Linked DNA regions of Astyanax mexicanus. Each later gene encodes a partner of the first gene's protein in a complex. Links are inferred from orthologs where the notes say so. Each region holds a gene or a part of one and is shown on either strand. Other genes may lie near its edges.

Evidence for each region.
Region 2: pola2 (region 1) and prim2 share a complex: the UniProt entries of both Homo sapiens proteins name them as parts of the alpha DNA polymerase complex. The link is inferred for Astyanax mexicanus from reciprocal best matches to the Homo sapiens genes POLA2 and PRIM2.

The regions. Positions count from the first base shown.
Region 1 is NC_064419.1:938,323-948,092, forward strand, and holds the start of pola2 (DNA polymerase alpha subunit B), read right to left. Parts: upstream 4,139-9,770; 5' UTR 4,030-4,138; intron 3,115-4,029; 5' UTR 3,076-3,114; coding exon 2,991-3,075; intron 2,909-2,990; coding exon 2,784-2,908; intron 2,673-2,783; coding exon 2,587-2,672; intron 2,340-2,586; coding exon 2,282-2,339; intron 1,910-2,281; coding exon 1,800-1,909; intron 1,546-1,799; coding exon 1,352-1,545; intron 1-1,351. Other genes in the region: dimt1l (probable dimethyladenosine transferase), read left to right, coding at 5,247-5,304, 5,744-5,817, 6,149-6,235, 6,538-6,599, 6,709-6,802, 6,916-6,965, 7,382-7,505, 7,624-7,716 and 4 more. UniProt on the Homo sapiens protein: Accessory subunit of the DNA polymerase alpha complex (also known as the alpha DNA polymerase-primase complex) which plays an essential role in the initiation of DNA synthesis.
Region 2 is NC_064414.1:43,403,222-43,413,381, forward strand, and holds the start of prim2 (DNA primase large subunit), read right to left. Parts: upstream 3,845-10,160; 5' UTR 3,761-3,844; intron 3,725-3,760; exon of another isoform or gene 3,705-3,724; intron 2,753-3,704; 5' UTR 2,744-2,752; coding exon 2,599-2,743; intron 2,505-2,598; coding exon 2,392-2,504; intron 2,079-2,391; coding exon 1,975-2,078; intron 1,291-1,974; coding exon 1,170-1,290; intron 490-1,169; coding exon 394-489; intron 1-393. UniProt on the Homo sapiens protein: Regulatory subunit of the DNA primase complex and component of the DNA polymerase alpha complex (also known as the alpha DNA polymerase-primase complex) which play an essential role in the initiation of DNA synthesis.

The DNA.
Region 1 (9,770 bases):
CTGCTGATCACATGGACAAAGATAAAACCTTCTGGAGGAAAGTTCTCTGGTCAGACGAAACAAAAATTGAGCTGTTTGGCCACAACACCCAGCAATATGTTTGGAGGAGAAAAGGTGAGGCCTTTAATCCCAGGAACACCATGCCTATTGTCAAGCATGGTGGTGGTAGTATTATGTTCTGGGGATGTTTTGCTGCCAGTGGAACTGTTTTTTTGCAGAAAGTAAATGGGATAATGAAGAAGGAGGATTACCTCCAAATTCTGCAGGAAAACTTAAAACCATCAGCCCGAAGGTTGGGTCTTGGGCGCAGTTGGGTGTTCCAACAAGACAATGACCCAAAACACACATCAAAAGTGGTAAAGGAATGGCTAAACCAGGCTAGAATTAAGGTTTTAGAATGGCCTTCCCAAAGTCCTGACTTAAACCCCATTGAGAACATGTGGACAGTGCTAAAGAAACGGGTTCATGCAAGAAAACCATCACATTTAGCTGAACTGCACCAATTCTGTCAAGAAGAGTGGTCAAACATTCGACCTGAAGCTTGCCAGGAGCTTGTGGATGGCTACCAAAAGCGCCTAGTTGCCGTGAAAATGGCCAAGGGACATGTAACCAAATACTAATGTTGCTGTATGTATATTTTTGACCCAGCAGATTTGGTGACATTTTCAGCAGACCCATAATAAATTTATGAAAGAACCAAATTTTATGACTGTTTTTTGTGACAAACATGTATGTGTTCCGATCACTCTATCACAGAAAAATAAGAGTTGTAGAACTTATTGAAAACTCAAGACAGCCATAACATTATGTTTTTTTACAAGTGTATGTAAACTTTTGACCACAACTGTACCCTGGTTCCTATTTTAGCAATCTGCAGGTCAGCCGCTAACTGCAAATCCTGCAGCTTGATTTAGGGAGTGTTGGTATGTCTTTGCTATCATAACAACAGGAAAAGTACAATGCGAAATAAGCCAATCAGCACGTCACTTGCATCCCCTTTAAGAGATAAGTGATCACGCTGTAACGTTGCGCGAGCAGGTAAGGACAGTAACCTATATTTTGTGTTAAGGTAGAATTAATAATGTTATTTAATTTTGTATTCTGTCCATCTCCACATGTGCACAACAACCTGGGGTGTATGTGCGTTCTGCACAAGCAAAGATAGCAATGATCGTCCGTGGCTCACCGGAGGTTTCCGTTGCCAAGATAGCAATATGGCAGAGATTTTTGCTGTGTTACTTATTTGTTGTACTGTCTGGTGTCCACCACAAAAGTATGGGTCACATAACCACAGTAGGCACCCCTACAATAACTACGAGTAGAAGAGAAGAGTGAACTGTTCAGAACGTACCATCTCGCACATCTCTGAGCCTCTGGAACATGTATTTATAGGAGCTGGTGAGTGAGTCCTCGCGTCCCTCGAGCAGATCCACCTGCACAGCGGTCTGGCCTTTCCCTGACCAGCGGGGACCCTGCACAGCCCCGAACATGGCCACCACCTCCCCCCGAGCTCCACGCATGCTGTACTTCTGAGAGGGGGTCGCGCTGCACACAAAACAATACACAGGAAAGGTCATGTAGTCTAGCTCCAGCGTAAAACAACTACGAGGATTAATCTGTAAAGGCACATGCATCTCTAGCAGTTATAGAAATAGGTAAGTTTATGGACTTCCTTTCCATTTTAATAGTTAGTTTGCTTTTCAGAGGAAAACAATGTTAAAATTATGAGATCTAATAACATTACGTGTAAATTATAATGTGTAGAATGTGAAAGTTATGAATAAACACGGCGTATTCACCAGGGGGAGAAGCTGGCAGGAGAGAGCAGCAGACCGGGACTGGGGAGGCGAGCAGCACTGCGCTTAGACTGAGGATGTTCTGGGGTGGTAAGAGCACGTTTCTGGGAGCCCTTACAGAAAAATACACAAACAATGCTCATATTAAACAATACAAGGACATTTAAAACATATACAGATGTCCTAGAATCTGAATTTAAGATAAACAACTAAGGCCTGGGCAAGAATTATACCATAGGCTATATTTCCTTTTAATGTAAAATCCCCATTCAAAATGCTGTGTAGTCCAAGACCAGGATTAACATCTGTGTCAGTATCAAACAAAAAGGAACAACTGATTAACTGACAAGTCATTGTAATACAATCACAATTATTCACACTTTTATAACTAATATTCAAGCCCATGTTAAGGTGTTACTGCTGAAAGCACTAAATAAAACAAGACACCTTTTAAAATGATTTAATATGAATTTAAAGTGAAATACCTTGGCGGGGGTTGAATACGAATCCAGTAAATTTTCTTCCTCCTCCTCCGCTTTGATTCTGTTCACACTGAGTTAAGAAATTGACTCACTTTATAGACTAACACTTAATTTCAAACTAGGGACCACATGGGGGGCAGAGTGGTCCAGCGATCCACTATGACCAGGAGATTGCTGGTTTGAATCCCGGTTATGCAGCTTGCCATCAGATGCCAATTGTGCACACATCAGAGAGTGCACAACTGACCTTGCTCTCTCTGGGTGGGTAGGTAGCAACAGGGAACTATTTCTAAAAGATAAAAGGATACAGGTCCTGGATGGAATGCACATCTCTGGTGTTGTTAATCTTGCTCCCCTTTGATGAGCTTTTGCCTTTATGTTTCTTATTCAAAACCTGCAAAACAAACAAAAACAAGAAGGTACATTGTATTTTACAAACTATAAGACGCACCAGATTTTAAAGCACATTAAGTGACACTAGTCACTTTTTACTGGATTTACTCACCTCATGTTCGAACGTCTCTAGATTATTCACGGTGAGTTTTAACAGGCCTTTTGTTGTGCTGAAAGCCACCCACTCATTTACAATATCCTCTCCTTTAATTCTGTGGCATAAGCACTGCTCCATCACTGAAAAATAGAAATAAAATGATTACGAACACTTACACACAATACACAAACACTGAATCTGATACTTCTAATCTACACTCACTCTTGTCCAGCACGGCATCATCCTCACACGTTATATCAAACGTCTCCAGCTCGTCCTTTATCTTCTCACTGGTAACGTTCGCCATCGCTCTTCTTACCAGCCCAGTGCACAAATCTGAAAAAAACTGTATCCAGTGTTTGTGGATTAAAATCTATGTGTGAGTTATTTTAACACATGCCTTTTTATACTGAAATATAACATTTGAATTTAGTGACGAGTGTGTCGATGAAGCTCCACAGCTTAATACTGTGGATCAAGTCAATAAAGAAAAATCATTAAATCAATTATTGATCACGTATTGATTGTACATATTTTATCTCTCAATTATCCCATTTTAAAATAATAATTTGAGTAATCAAATTAATACAATTAACCTCCCAGCCCTAATAATTACATCTCAAAAGATGGATTATCTCTGCTGGGGTGTTTAAGTGTGCTTCTTATTATAAGAGCTAGCTGGCTAATTTCTTATACAGACCTGCTTGTGTTAACGTAAGCTAACTAAACACAAGCTTAGATAGTTAATTAGCAAGCTAGCTAGATAGTTAGCTATTAAGCTAGTTAGTTAGTTAGTTAACTCAGTTTACAAGCTAGGTGGTTAAAAAGCTAGTTAGCTAGTTAGTTCGTTATCTGGCTAGCTAACCAGTTCGTAAGTAAGGTACTTACTTACATAGTTAATTAGGTAGCTAGCTAGTTAGCAAGGTAATTTGTTAGTTAGTAAGCTGGCTAGTTAGTTAACTAATTAGTTAGCAAGCAACATAGTTAACAAGCTAGTTATTTAGCAAGCTAGACAGCTACCTAGTTAGTTAGCTAGGTAACTAGTTAGTAAGCTATTTAGTCGGCTAGTTACTTAGTTAGTTAGTTAACTAACTAACTAACTAACCTAACCTACATTCACTTTGCTGACTTTAGCTACAGCTACAACTGTAAACAGACAAACAAACCCCCGAATAAACACATTCAGACTACAGCTACAATAAACCAGTCAATAAAAAACATCTTTAAATCGCTGATTAAAAGAATAAACTCTATATTTTACCTGTTAACCGCGTTAAAGCAGCGCGCGCTCTGTCATCACTGTGTTGAGCTCCGCTTCAGTTTGCCGCGAAAACGGAGAAAACGTCACATCCTGTGCGCGGTTATCTCCTCCTGACCGGCAGGAGGCGCTGCGCTCAAACCGCTAACCCGCCGCAGCGCACAGAGCCCTGCGTGACGAGACTGCCCACTTACTGTTAGCGAAAATAACTGCCAACCACTAGGGGGCGATCGCAAGAAGGTCCTCAATGAATGGGACTGAATAGAGCTAAACGGCTAAAACCTCAAATTAAAAATACTATTTAAGTACATGTCCAGAATATGAATTTAATATTGGAGAGTAGAATAAAGTATTTCGCACAAAACTCAAAGAAAACACACCTGCATGTTGTTAATTTTATATAGTGAACGATTTTTGTACAACAGAGACGCTAGCATGTCTGCTAATATGTGATATGAGTCCTACTTGAATTTGAGTTTTAAATTTTTTTTTTAAAAAGACACAAACTGAACATAGCATAAAATACAGAACAGACAGAGGCAAACACATAACATGGGCTTACATAAACCCTTTAAAAATATATTTTAACAATTAAGGTAATTTTAACAAAATAATATCACATTCCAACTATATAACACAAAAAAACAAAAGCAGTGAATACAAAAATGTCACAATATATTAATCAAATTATCTTTCAAACGTCTTTTATAATGTTTCACAGACGAACATTTCTCTGCCAAATGGTTAAAACCCTTTCACAGATTTGTCCCCTGATATCTTACAGAAAATTGACACTAGAAACGAGAAATTTAAGAAGATGGAGATCTAAAGATTGACGAGTTGATTATTGATGAATTTCTGCATTTCTAATAAAGTAAATATATACATTTATGAATAGCTTTATCTGGGATATTTCCATGAATTTAATACATTTTATAAATAAATATACATATTTGACAAATATTAATATTATAAATAGAGAGAAACTGAAGCTTCTGAAATAGCGTAGCAGATTTGATCCATAAACTCATTTCTTTTTTTGTGATTTTGCTCAATTGATCTCGTTCTCTGATGGTCAGACCAATCCAGAAGACATTGTTAAGTGGGAACTCTCCTCTCTACAGACTCTTTGGTGAACACACACACATATAGCTATAAACACACACGTGTTTAGAGGTTTCTTATCGAAATCCTGCTTTAAATGATCAAAAATCAGCAAAATGCCGAAAGTAAAAGCTGAGAAGAAATCTCGACAACACCAGGAGGTGAAAAGTCAAGGTAGGAGCTGCTAAAAGTGGTTGTTTTAATCGTATTTATAATATAGATAGACAACCCTGCCTTGTGTCCGCCTGTATTTAACTTGTATTATATGGAACTCTAATAAGTAACTTACTAGTGTATCTTAAACTTACTTTATTTCAGTAATGTAGTTAAAAACGTGAATCTCATATATATATTATATAGATGTATTAAACACAGAGTGATCTAATTTAAGCGTGTTTTTTATTGTACATGATTATGAAGCTTACAGCCAATAAAAACTCAAAAATCAGTGTATCAAAAAATTAGAATATTATATAAGACCAATTGGTACTTTTGGCAGTGTGCCAAATCCTGCTGGAAAATGAAATCCTCATCTCAATTCCTGCACCTGCGTTAATGAACTGAATACAAGTCACCAGTAATTAAATTCTGTCATTTTCTCTTCATGTTTCAGGGATTATGTTTAACACTGGTATTGGGCAGCATATCCTGAAAAACCCTCTGGTGGTTAATGGTATTATTGAGAAGGTGGGTCTTTGTTAATTCTGATCTTATTAATGAATTCATGTTTGTTTATTATCTTCTGAAGAACAGATTATTTAATTTATAGATGTTTAGGGCATGTTTATGTGGAACAGTATCAGAACTGTGGGCTGATGTGATGCATGTACCTTTCAAATAAATCATCTCTCAGTGATAATACAAATACATTTTTAAAAAGTAGTATTTGGTGTTTATAAATTGTATCTAGTATTAATAATGTTATAATATATTAAATGCATATATGATAGGATGCTCATATGTAAGGTGTTTTATTGTATATTATTATTATTATTATTACTATTATTATTTTTCTCAGGCGGCTCTGAGACCTACAGATGTGGTTCTGGAAGTGGGACCTGGAACTGGTAACATGACGGTGAAGCTTCTGGAGAAAGCAAAAAAAGTAAATAATAATAAGTTCGGATAAAGTAGATTATATTTGATCAGCCCATGTAACACTGATCAGTTATTTTGGAGAATAACTGATTAAATGATAAAACTTGATCAGCATGACTATCAGAGGTGTTAAATGACAAAAACATAAAGTCTGGTGTAAAGATTCACTATTATATTTTTTCCATTTGATATAGTGAAGAAGAAATGTTTTTTTTATATATATATTTTCTTCCTAATTTCTTCCCCTCACAATCTATAGTAAAGTTGTAATAACATTGATATAAACGCAGTGTTTATTTATTTATGTAGGTAGTAGCGTGTGAGTTGGACACCAGGCTCGTGGCTGAACTGCAGAAAAGAGTGCAGTGCACGTAAATACCTGTTTTTATTCTTTACAATTATTCTGTGTTATTATTTTAATGTTGGTTAAATCTTTATTTTGCAGTAGAAACTCAGTTCTGTGTAAAATATCATTTACAGACCCCTGCAGTCCAAACTTCAGATCTTAATCGGAGACGTTCTGAAGACAGAACTGCCGTTCTTCGATGTCTGTGTAGCAAATTTACCATATCAGGTACAATATACAATTTTTTTACATTACATTTTAGTTAGTCCTCCAGTATTATTTTTTTTTTAGAAGTTATATTTTAGTTACATATGAGTATTGTAATATTTATTATTTTGCAGATTTCTTCACCTTTTGTCTTCAAGCTCCTCCTTCACAGACCTTCCTTCAGGTATGAATTTTAACATTTATTAAAATAAAAAAGCTCCCTATAATCAACCTGCACACTGATTAAAACAGAATTTCACATTATATGTTGTAGGAAAGGGTAGTGGAATTGTTGTTGTAATAACAGAATTAAAATTTCAGTACTGATATATGATAGAGTTCTTTTTTTTTTTTATAGGTCCTGTTTCTGTATGTTTTTAGTAAATTTTCTATTTTATTTAGTATATTAAGTTTTGTATACTTGTGTAACTCTGCTCTAGAGAATTACCTGAGCCTCATCACAAGCATTTCAGTTCACTTGTGTTCTAAAATGCAAATAACAATTAAATTGCATGCAAAAGCATTGAAATTTGGATGTCAATGAAAATAGAATATGAACAGTGTAAATATCCTACATAAATAAAATCTACATTTTTAAAGGTGCGCAGTGCTGATGTTCCAGAGGGAGTTTGCCATGCGTTTGGTGGCGAAGCCTGGAGAGAAACTCTACTGCAGACTCTCCATCAACACACAGCTACTGGCCAGAGTGGACCACATCATGAAGGTCAGTCAGCTTTACTATTTCAGACAAGACAGGACTTAAATACAGGATAGTTTGGGCAGCAGCACAGTGTAAAGTTGAGCTGCTGTTTTCAGTTGATTGATTTCTTGTTTGTTTTTAGGTCGGGAAAAACAACTTCAGGCCGCCTCCTAAAGTGGAATCCAGCGTCGTCAGGATAGAGCCAAAGAATCCGCCACCACCAATCAACTTTCAGGTACAGGAATCAGTTTTCAGAAAGATTTCAGAATAGGTGTGGGCGATATGGTTCTAAAATAATATCACGATATTTCAGGGTATTTTTGCGATAACGATATACTTCATTTCAGGAATATAGTATAAGAGTATAACTGTATAACCATAATGTGGCAAAATAAATAATATAGCATAAAATAATATAATTCAGCAAATAATATTGCAGAATATTTAGTGCATGCATATAAACTGCAAACTAAAACAATTATACAATAAATACACCTAAAGCTTCACAGTAAATAATAGACTACTTTTAAGACAGAACAGCCCTATTATCACAATATGGATTTTTAGTATCATGACACTTCTGTGTCACGATATATTGTATACGATATTATATTGCCCACCCCTATTTATATAATATATAGAATATATATATATAATTTATTATGAGGTATGCAGTATGGAGGATATGCTGGAGTGGATATGACCACAAGTACTGAGTATGTTTATCTGGGTTTTTTTTTTCTGTAGGAGTGGGACGGCCTTGTCAGGATTGCATTCGTCAGAAAGAACAAAACACTCAGTGCAGCGTTCAAGTAAGTACTTTATATTTTTACACCAACAATATTTGGTCCAGTTAAAACAGACTCTGGTTGGGTGCTCATTATGTTCATTGTTTGCTCACGTGTTTAGTTGTTACACTTGCAATTTTACTTCTGTGAAACCAAGTGAACTAACAAGAGAAATGAAGAAAAATAGCTCAGCTATATTTAAATAATAATAATAACTGTGCTTTATATCATGTGTTTGAAGGTCTACTGCTGTTGAGCAGCTTCTGGAGAAGAACTACAGAATTCATTGCTCTGTTCACAACGTAGTAAGTATAAACAAAATCTCAATTGTGTGTTTTCTCATTTTAACAACTTTTATCATGCACATCTTGTCATTAGGTCTAATTAAAATGTGATGCAAATTATAATTCTCACATTTCTATATTAATAGGAAGTTCCACAGGACTTCAGCATTGCTCAGAAGATTGAAGATGTTCTTCGGGAGGCGGAGTTTAATGAAAAGCGAGCGAGATCCATGGATATAGACGACTTCATGGTGTAAGTTAATATATGCAGTGATTTTGATAAGTGATCTCGATCTCTATCTGATGTTCTCCATCTTTATGACGTTTCTTTTTGTTCTATAGACTTCTTCATGCTTTCAACTCTGCTGGGATCCACTTCTCATAAATCCAGCGAAATAAAAACAGCTACAGTATATTTGGACTGAATATTGATGCAGTTTTTGAACTCTGCTTCATGAAGCTTCTCTGCGTTGTGTGTCTGAGTGACACCATGTTCTGGACAAGCTATGGAGAGGACCTGTCACCTAATTTTTGAACTGTTGGTGCTTTTCTGTGGATTTAAGAGAGAGATTTCACAGGAGGAGCCAAATCCATGAGAGTAATGTGAACTCTGGATGGATGTGAAGCACAGAAATGTACCAGAATCTGGATGTTTCTGGTAGATACAGATTTTATAAAGGACTTTCTGCAGATCTCAGCATCATGAACTACTTTAGATTACACCTTTTTTCCAATATAAATAATTCATTTAAAGTTGGGAGTAATTTTCAATGTTTCTTGTATAAAGTACCAGCAGAAAGTTGGTAACCTCTGCACAGTATGCTTCTCACTGTCTGCTGACCAGTATCATCATACAATTCTACAATTCTCCAGTAGGAAGTAAACAAAACTGTAATTCTCAAAAAAGCATTTTTTTTCTAAAGTTAAAAGAGCGCTGGATGTTAATCTACACAGATTTCCTTCCTGAAAACTGTTTATTTAGGTGAGTAAAGCGCTTCCTTTTATTTACAGTAAGCTTACATTACCAATATTTTGTCTAAGGGTCAGTTTTCAGTGAAGTTTCTCCAGCACTAAGGCTAGGTGTAGCAGCATTAGTCGCTAACCTTTAGTGCTAGACTGAGTGTTCTAGTAACCCAGGGCACTATCAGCTAGCGGTTCGTCCCACATATCTTGTTTTAACACAATAAATATGCATACTACAGTGCTAGCGCTGCAGT
Region 2 (10,160 bases), on another chromosome or scaffold:
ACTGTTTTTAATAGTAACATTAGCTAAGCTACCAAAGGTTGTTTATTTTTGTGTAAATTCCATTCACATGGGACTTGATTAGTAATGCTAAGGTAAATGTATAACTAAAACTACACTGTTGTGATAAATGTGTGACTAGCACTGCTGAAATTAATTCATAATTAGAACTGCACTAAGAGACAAAAGTACTGTTGGTATGTCTACTGGGATATTTTCAATAGTAAGAAAAATGTCAAAATGAAAACCTGTGAAATCTTTCAGCCAAATGTTTTCAAATATTTCAAGTATTTTCATTTTTTTTTCATTTAAAGCAAATCAGTAACTCTGTATCTCAGAAACAGACTAAACTGCTTGATTACTGTAAGATGGAAAGAATCTGAATTTTGGTCTTACCTTGTAGAAATCCTGCTCCACAATAGTGATTCCACTAAAACCAAAAGTGGAGTTTATGAGCTGATCTTTCAGATTCATCTTTTCATCCGCACTTAACTGTCAAAGGGAGAGAATGCAAGCAACTTACAAACATAGATCAACATAACAGAAAGCAAACATCAGAGTACAAGCACAAAAAATGACCGAGAAGAACACATGCTATAACATATTGCAATAACAAATGATTATTGGTTGTTGCCATAATAAGCACCATAAATACATGTAAAATTAGCGACTGCTCATGGACCTCATGAATTAAAGGATGACCACATTGTTAACATGTAGAATATCGATATCCAAGCTTTGAGGAAATATTATTATTGCTAGTTCACCAAGTTTACAAAAACTCTGATATTTAGCCAATAAAATATAGACTAAGAGAATAATAAAGTATTTCCATGGTCCCCCCTAAAGCGCTTTAGCTTTAATACACCATATTTATGGGCATTTAAAACCCCCTACAGACATAATAAAGTCAGCCTCCTCATGAAAACAGCAGGTGCCATTTATCCATCAGTGAGCATTTAGCTCCACCTGCTGTTCAAACACACACATGCTTTTTCTTTACAGCACAATATTCTTAAAATCAGGTCTGAGGGCCTGTGTATTAAGTGTGTTTATCAGGTTAGATTCGTCACAGGAACAAATAATAAAGATTATCACAGCTTTCAAAATCAAACCTAAAATTAGCTAATACCTGATGAACTGTTCAATCAAGCACAAAATAAAATGCTTACCGTGTCATATTTCAGATTATTTTTATGCAGAAACTCAGTCTTATACTTGGAGCTGAGGTCATTGAAACGGTGGCGAAAAAGGTCCATTTCCTGCTGGATAAACCACCGTCTGAGATCCTCCCTAAAAAAAAGGTTAGTTTAGTTTCTTTCGGTTTTTCAAAAAAAAAATAAATAAATAAATAAAATAAAGGAACTGGATTTGTGTTGGTTTTATATGCATTTGTCCACATCTCCACTATAAAAACAGTGCACTACATCGTACATTTAGATTCAAAATATGTTTAGTATTGCAATGGTTTTGCAATAGCAATGGGATTGCAAATAGTATTGCAATCTCTACAATCTCTTGTCCCTCTTAGTTTATCTTAATTGGATGAAGGACAGGACAAAAATCTAGATATAATATTAATAGAATTTGTGACAATTTTTTGAAAAGGTCACACAAAAGGGCAAAATAACTTAAAACCTGGGGGGGGGGGGGGCACATTTGGGGCACTACGCATCCCTACAATTCAGTTATATTATTTTTACTGTGATTTAAAGATATATATTTATTATATATTTTATTTCTATATATTTTAGTTTCTATTTCTGCATATATCTTATGTGTTTAAGTTGTTCAACATCTCTGCCTTAGTTCATGTGAAGTGGCAGCTATCAAATGATTTAAGTGGCAATTCAGAATGACCAAAGTGTTAAACATAGGATGGAAACAGAAATACTGAATGAAGCATTAAGATTAAGACCCAAGTACAAGTACCTTTATGGAAAGAAAGAAAAAGGGGGGAACAAGGGGAACACTTACGTTTGGCAATATGCCAGGCGCAGAATAAAATGAGAGATGTGGTCTTTCCTTCGCTTCTCATATTCAGATGGTCCAACCTGACTTTTGGTAAAACTTGCCTCATCCTAATATAGAGAAACAGTGAACTTTAAACAACTACCATTACAACAGGGTAACAAGTTCAGTAAAATGAATAACAAATCAAATATAAACATTTTGCCACTGCAGCAAAGCAAGACCTAAAGATTAAGCTACTCCAGAGTACAAACAATATCAGGTAACATTTCTCAAAAGTAAATCTATCCAAAGCCAATTTTTTCCTTGTCTAAAAGACAACCATTGTAAGCAGATTTAATAGCTTTTAAATCACAGTGTGAGGAACCTTTATGTATCAGCTAAATCTAAATGCTAAAAGTGAAAAATAGAACATTTCCTTACCACTTCTGCTTTGTGTGGGAAATTAAGGTTTGAGATTTCAGCGTGAAGTTTCTTGGTGTACTGCTCCGTTGTTTTCACATAGCTGACACCAAGGTTCTCCACAGTCTTCAACACTTTAGATGGGAAAATAAAAAAAATAATTAGACAAAACAAATGTAGGACATGGACAATGAGAAGCGATGACCAGGAGCTGTGGTCTCGACTTACATTTCAGCCTCTCCACTGCAAAGGTCTCAAACTCGCTGAGGGATATGTTCTCCAGAGGAGGCTGCACATACAGCTGCAGACAGTGGCTGTAGAGATCATTCTGAGAGTGAACTGCAAGCTTCCTCCTTCTGCCTGAGAACTGCATGGTCTCTTTCTGAGCAAAGAAAAACAGCCCATTTTATTTTCACTAGTTTTAACATCTGATGCCTTCTGCTAGGTAACTGTCAATTAGAAAGTATCTGTACACTTTATGAACACCTTATTCATTAATTTCTTTCAAAATCAAGGCTGGTGTGGGCAGATAGCTGGACAGTATTAGGTGTGTGTTTAAAGTAACTGTTAGTTCACATGTTTGGCTGCTTTCTTAAAAATTTAGCATATCCCATAAGACCTCAGACCCAGCTCTGAATACTAACCCAAAATGTAAAACAAGTTAAATTAATTGTTGCTCCAGTACCCTTTAAAACATGATTAAACCATGTCATAACCTACATTTTAACATTTTGTCCTAGAAATGGTGTCAGAATGTGTCATATGGGAAGAAAACAGTTCAATAAAAATAAAAATCCATATCGTGATATCGCAATGTTATTGAAAGAAGTCCATTTTGTTTCTTCTGCATATTTTTGCTCTTTACTGTACACTTTTAATAGCTTGTTCGCAGTTTATACTCATGCACTACATAACTACAAGTCATTTATACTAAACAAACTCTTAATATGTTGTTACATCACAATTTCAGCCTTAAAAAACGTAGTAATGTGCCCTTAAATCTTAAGTCACCCTGAAGTCACTGTTAACCCATATTTTAACCACATAATGTAGCTCTTTATATCAGCTAACCTACACAAACAGGCGACTCATTCAAAGCTAACTATCTAAGCTGGTAGTTACTTAATTAGTTAGTTAGCTGGCTGGCTAGCCGAGCTATACAGCCAATAATACCAGTAAACGCTAGTTTAAAGCTAGTTATCTAGGTTAGAGTTACCCGCTAGCTAACCTTAGGTTAGCTGGTTACCGTATCCGAGCTACAATAAGCGCCAGTTACACAACACAGCTTTAAACAGCCTACTAGCGCTTCTCCCCAAGTGTAAAATAGTCCTCACAGTAAACACTGCTCCCGCGGCGCCGTTAAAGTCTTTAAAACGGTTAAAAACATTACCTTTACTTTACAATAACAAACAGCCCGCCGCCGAGTCTCTTCCTGTCGCGCGAGTCCCGCCAACAGCCTGATCCGAACTAACGGCGCGAAAATGACGCGAGAGCCACAACGCACCAATCAGAGCAGCGCTCGAGCCGCCCCGCTCCGCTGCACTGAAATGAAACAGCGGCGCCATGTGTTCAAACCCTGCAGTGCAGCAGAGAGAGAGGAACCAGAACTGTGTTGACAATGGTTCACTCTTTACCTCAAGTTAACTCAGGTTATTCCATCAAGATGACAATGCCAGGGCTGAAATTGTGAAAGAGTGCTTTAGGGAGCATGAGATCATCATTTTCACACATTGATTGTTCACCACCAGAGTCCAGACCTTAAACCTAGTCAGAATCTTTAGGATGTGCTGGAGAAGACTCTACCATCATCAATGCTGCAAGATCTTGGTGAAAAATTAATGCAACTCTGGATTGAAATAAATTTTATGACATTGCAGAAGCTAAACTTTATGATTTCAGAAACAACCGTGTGAACTTGAAAAGGCTGAAAGATCCAACCAAGCAGAACTTGGTTCCAGAACTCTGTGTTACTTTCTGTCCCAATTTTATTTTACACTTTATTTTATACGTTGTAACTTTTCTTTGGATTTATATTTTATATTTTTATATCTATTTGCTAATGTAACATGGTCAGATTTAAGTCAATATCAGGCCAACAAATGCCCCCCATCAGCATCAGGCCAGGAAAAGCCCACCAGAAAAAAAGTATATTGGCCTTCTTACTGGTCAATTTGATATTTGTCCACTAGAGGACAGCAGCGGTTTTTCCTTTTATATAAATAAACTGAAAACACGCAGATACTTTTAATATTAATTAGATTTTATGGTGATTTGCAAAATATATATAGTAATCATTTAACCAGATCATTTCAGGCTTATTTTGGCATTTAAACATCTGGCGTATAAAGCATATTCCGCAGGTAATTACATGCATAAATAATATATGTAATTAAAAACATTAATAAAAACTGAGAAACACTGAGAAAATAGCATTTTTTACCTGTCCTCACTCCCTAACTATAAACTTAAAATCCTTCAGAGGCTCCAAATCCCATTCCATCCCATGTTTTAATATATGTATATTAACAAGACCTAATTAAGCTCGCTCATTAGTTTTTTTTTTGTATATTTAATCTTATTGTAACTAGGACTATGACTAATCTCAACACTGCCCTGTTACCTAAATTAATTATTAGATTTTAATGGTTTATATTTAAAATACAGATTTTGGGAAAATCAGTAGAATGTGCTCATTGTTTTAATGGCCGCCATTTAGCTTTCTTTATGTTTTTGATAATTCTATGCTAAAAACTCATTTCCGATACTTTAAAAGTGACAGGAATGAGTGCTAGTAACAGGAGTGAGTTCCAGTAACAGGAATGAGTATTGTACCGTGGTTTATTCCCAGATAGCCAGCGACTTTGGCCCGGACTCGTTTCTAAGTCGGCACTGCTGGTTTAGAGTCGCAAGCAGAAAAATACTTCTGGCCCACAGCTGGCCCAGTGTCACTTTCTGACTGTTCTACATCAGTGTCACTGAGCAGTCGTTTTGGTGCTGGTGAAGGACTGACGCACCTGACCTGTTGATTATCTGAACACAGGTGTGTACTGGCTCAAATACGGCAGACGACCCTGTACCAGCACTGTTATAGTACACACACACGCACACGCACACGCACACGCACACACACACAGCCTGTTATAGTACTGCTTCACACACACACACACACACACACACACACGCACGCACGCGCACACACACACACACCCAGAGAGTCTAATTCTATTGGCCACATTTTTCTACATGGACTGGATAAGCTGTGTGTGTGATCACGTTTAGAGTGATCTAGGTGATTTTAGGCTTGTTCGAGATGCGGCTGCGCCTCGCCTTGCTGGTCAGCGAGAGCAGCCGCGTGCAGGTGGGCGGGGTGGAGGAGCGGAGAAGTCAGGTCGGACAGTCTCCACCTGCAGCCCACGTGAACAACACAGGATCTCGCGATGAATGCGCTGTTTGTTTACTTCTGGTGTGAATAAAATCGCAAAAGTGAAACAGAGATAACATGAGTGTTATTAAATTGAGATAAAAACTTGTTATAAATATTCACAAAACATACTGTCATGTTACAGATGTATTGTGTAGTACTAAATTAATAATGGGATTAAATTTTTATTTGCAGACCAGCTTTTCTGTCCTTTGTTCTTGGAAATAAATACATCATGCTCATTTACACAGCTTTAATTGTTTAGCGCATTTCACAACACAAAAACAATATGTGGAGTGTCCAAATAAGTGAGCAGTGTTTTTAATAATAAACCATATTTTATATGCGTTTATAAAAACTGAAGTAAATAAGTGCTTATGTGCAGCGGTCAGGACGGGTTAAAAAAAATCATTAATTTAGTTGCCAATCAGAAGCTAGAGCTTTAGTTGGAGTAGCCAATCAGAAGCTAGAGTTTAGCTTGTTAAGGCGGAGCTAAAATATAGCTTGAGAAGAGCGCGAGAGGGACAGAGACGGTTACGACTTCCTGGGCGGGCTGGAGGGAGGAGAGATGGACGGAAGTGACGCAGGAGAGGGGAGTGAGTCGGACTGGTTAGGGAGTAGGAGCGGGAATTGGGGTGGTGGAGGACCGTGGCAAACTGTTCAGAAAAAAAAAGGTAGGCGTCTGTCAGATGATAGAGAATCAGCTGGAAATGAGAATGGTGCTGAGCAGGTTAAGCGTCGGAAGGAGGAGTATTTGGTGCTTATAAAATTTGATACTGACTCTGGGACTCCGCTAAATCCAATTAGATTGACTACTGAGTTAAAGAAAGCTTTAGGTGACCTGGCTGGAGCTAAGGTTCTGAGGGGGGGGCAGATTCTGATTACCTGTAAGGATGACCGGCAACGAGACAAAGCCTTGAAACTTAAGAGCTTGGGAGGTAGGAAGATTACGACAAGTTTGTTTAGGGAGAGGACGAGGATGAGAGGAGTAATAACTGGAGTTCCACTTGATTTAACAATGGAGCAGATTAAGAAAACCCTGACTGGTGGTAATGTGATTGAAGCTGTCAGATTAAAGGGGTTCAGAGATGGAGCACAGTCAGAAAGCTTGTCGGTAATGATTCAGTTCGAAGGAAATTCTTTACCGGCGAGAGTATTTCTGGGATACATTAGCTTCCCGGTGAGGATATATGTCCCTCCACCGGTGAGATGCTATAATTGCCAGAGGTATGGGCATATAGCCTCTGTGTGTAGGTCACGAAAGAGATGTGGGGTTTGTGGCGGTGAACACGAATATGGGCAATGTGGAGAGGGTGTTAAGCCTAAGTGCTGTAATTGCGGAGGAGATCACAAGGCAGCGTATGGGGGCTGTGAACAGAAGAAGAAGGCTATGGAAGTCCAGAATGTTAGAGCTGTAAGGGGGTTGTCGTATGCTGAAGCGTTGAAAGAAGTGGAAAAGGGAAGAAGTATGGAGTCGAGTCCCCCGAGTCAGGTTCTAAGGACAGCAGACCGTGATAGATCAGCTATGAACCGGCAGGCCCGCAGTGTTAATACACCAGACATGATGATTGTTGAAAAGGCAAAGTTCATTATGTTTATAGCAGAAGTAGTTAATTGTACGGCCCAGACAGGTAGTAGAACTGAAAAAATTAAGATCATTGTTCGATCTGCAGAACGTTATTTGGATATTAGGGGTTTGACTTGGGAGTCAGTCAGTGAGGGCCTGGCTGGGAAAGTAGTTTCCTCCCAGCTAGGTGATGACTAGTGATGGTTTGGTGATTTTACAGTGGAATGCTAGGAGTCTTATTGCTAATGGACAGGAGTTTAAGCATTATGTGGCTCATAGTCAACCGGTGCCTGATGTGATCTGTATACAGGAAACGTGGCTGAAACCCCACTTAAGTTTTACACTTTGTGGATATACTATGGTGCGGAGGGATAGGGCTCATAGTAATGGAGGAGGTGTAGCGATCTTTTTAAAGGAAGGAATAGTATTCCGATCTCTCCCTATTAGTGGGAATCACGAATCTCTTATGGTGGAGATATGGAGCAAATGTGGAAAGTTCACATTGGTGAATTTTTATAATCCATGCGAGAAAATCACTGTGGAGATGTTAAATAGAATTACTGGTTTGGGATATCGTAAAGTGGTGTGGTGTGGAGATTTTAATGCACATAACACATTGTGGGGCAGCTCATTCACAGATAGTAATGGCCAGGTGTTGGAGGATTTTATGATGGACAATGGTCTTGTATGTCTAAATGATGGTAGTGGTACAAGGTTGAATATAGTAAATAATACAATGTCAGTTTTGGACTTGACTTTTTCTTCTGCTGCTTTAGCAGGGATGAGCAGTTGGGGTGTATGTCAGTCTACGTCTATAGGTAGTGATCATTTTCCTGTTGTCTGTGTTTTTGGTATGGAGGTAAACAGAATGAGGGGGGAATTTTTGAGAAGGTGGAATTTTGATAAAGCAAATTGGGAGAAGTTTTCTGAACTTTGTGATCTGAGGCTACAGAATTTGACAGTTTCTGGAGATGTTGATGAATGTAATAAAAAATTGTGTGATATTTTATATAGTACTGCTGAAGAAGCTATTCCGATTAAAAAGCCTCATCAGAAGAAAAAGGCAGTTCCTTGGTGGACGGAGGAATGCTCTAAGGTAGTGAAAATACGCAATAGAGCACTCCAAAAGGTACGGAAAACTTTACTGTTTAGTGATTTGCTGGATTACAGAAGGGCGCAGGCAGTAGTTCGAAGAACAGTTAAAGTAACAAAGAGAGCCTACTGGAGGTCATTTTGTAGTATGATCGGGCCTGACATACATGTGGGGGATGTATGGCACATGATTAAAAAAATGAAAGGAATAAGGAAAGGGACTCTAATACCTGTGTTGCAAGATGGGGGCAAGGAGGCAGTTACTGACACTGAAAAGGCAGAGATGTTAGCCCAGGAGTTTACCAAAGTGCACAGCTCCGCTAACTTAAGTGAAACTATGCTACTGTGCAGGAAGAGAATTCGGCTGCAGAATCCTGGGGCATTGTGTCGGAGAGAAGTATTTGGCAGTGTTTTGGACTCTGCGTTTTCTTTAAGAGAATTAAAGGTGGCTATTGACAAATCTGGTCAGACATCTCCGGGAAAGGATGACATATGTTATGATATGTTTAGACATTTATCAGACTCTTCCCTTTCTGTAATTCTTGAATTTTATAACAATCTGTGGATGCTGGGTAAAATTCCCTCGGCATGGAAATTGGCGGTAGTGGTACCTATTGGCAAACCTGGCAAGGACCTCTCTAGTCCCACAGGATATAGGCCCATCTCTCTTACATCGCATTTGAGCAAGTTGATGGAGCGTATGGTAACTGACAGACTCACTTTCCATCTTGAGAGCCGACGTAGTTTAGCATATTATCAGAGTGGCTTTCGTCAAGGAAGGATGACCATGGATCCTGTATTATGTTTAGAATCAGATGTACGAAAAGCACAATTGTACAAAGAAGTGGTGGTGGCTGTGTTTTTAGACATTGAAAAAGCTTATGACATGCTGTGGACAGAGGGTTTAATGATAAAATTGGGTAAGATAGGAATTGGGGGAAGGGTGTATAATTGGGTATTAGATTTTTTGAGTGAAAGGGCGATACAGATAAGGGTGGGAAATGCATTGTCTAAAGTCTATCGCATAGAAAATGGAACTCCTCAGGGTAGCGTTTGTAGCCCTCTGTTGTTCAACGTCATGATAAATGACATTTTTTCATCTGTGGGCGCAGGAATTGCAAAATCTCTTTATGCAGATGATGGGGCTCTGTGGAAAAGGGGTAGAAATCTCCCTTTTGTTTTGAAACAGATGCAGGAGGCATTAATGAGGGTGGAGTGCTGGGCTAATGATTGGGGTTTTAAGCTGTCTGTGTCAAAAACACAGGCTATGTGTTTTTCCAACCGGAAAAAATCTACTTCTTTGGGTCTACGCTTATATGATTTGGAGATAGAGGAAGTTAAGGTAGTCAGATTTTTAGGTATGTGGATGGACACTAAACTGACATGGAAAACTCATATCAGTAAAATAATGGACAAATGTAAAAGTGCTCTTAATGTTCTTAAATGCCTATCTGGATGTGACTGGGGGGCTGACCGATCATCACTCCTTTATATGTACAGAGCACTGATGAGATCAGTTTTTGATTATGGTTGTGTGGCGTATAGGTCTGCATCTACAAACACTCTTAAAAAACTGGACCTGATTCAAGCTCAGGCATTAAGATTATGCAGTGGAGCAGTGAAATCGTCCCCTGTGGTATCTTTGCAGGTGGAGACTGGGGAGATGCCCTTGCAGTTACGGAGGTTGGCTTTATCCACTGTTTACTGGGT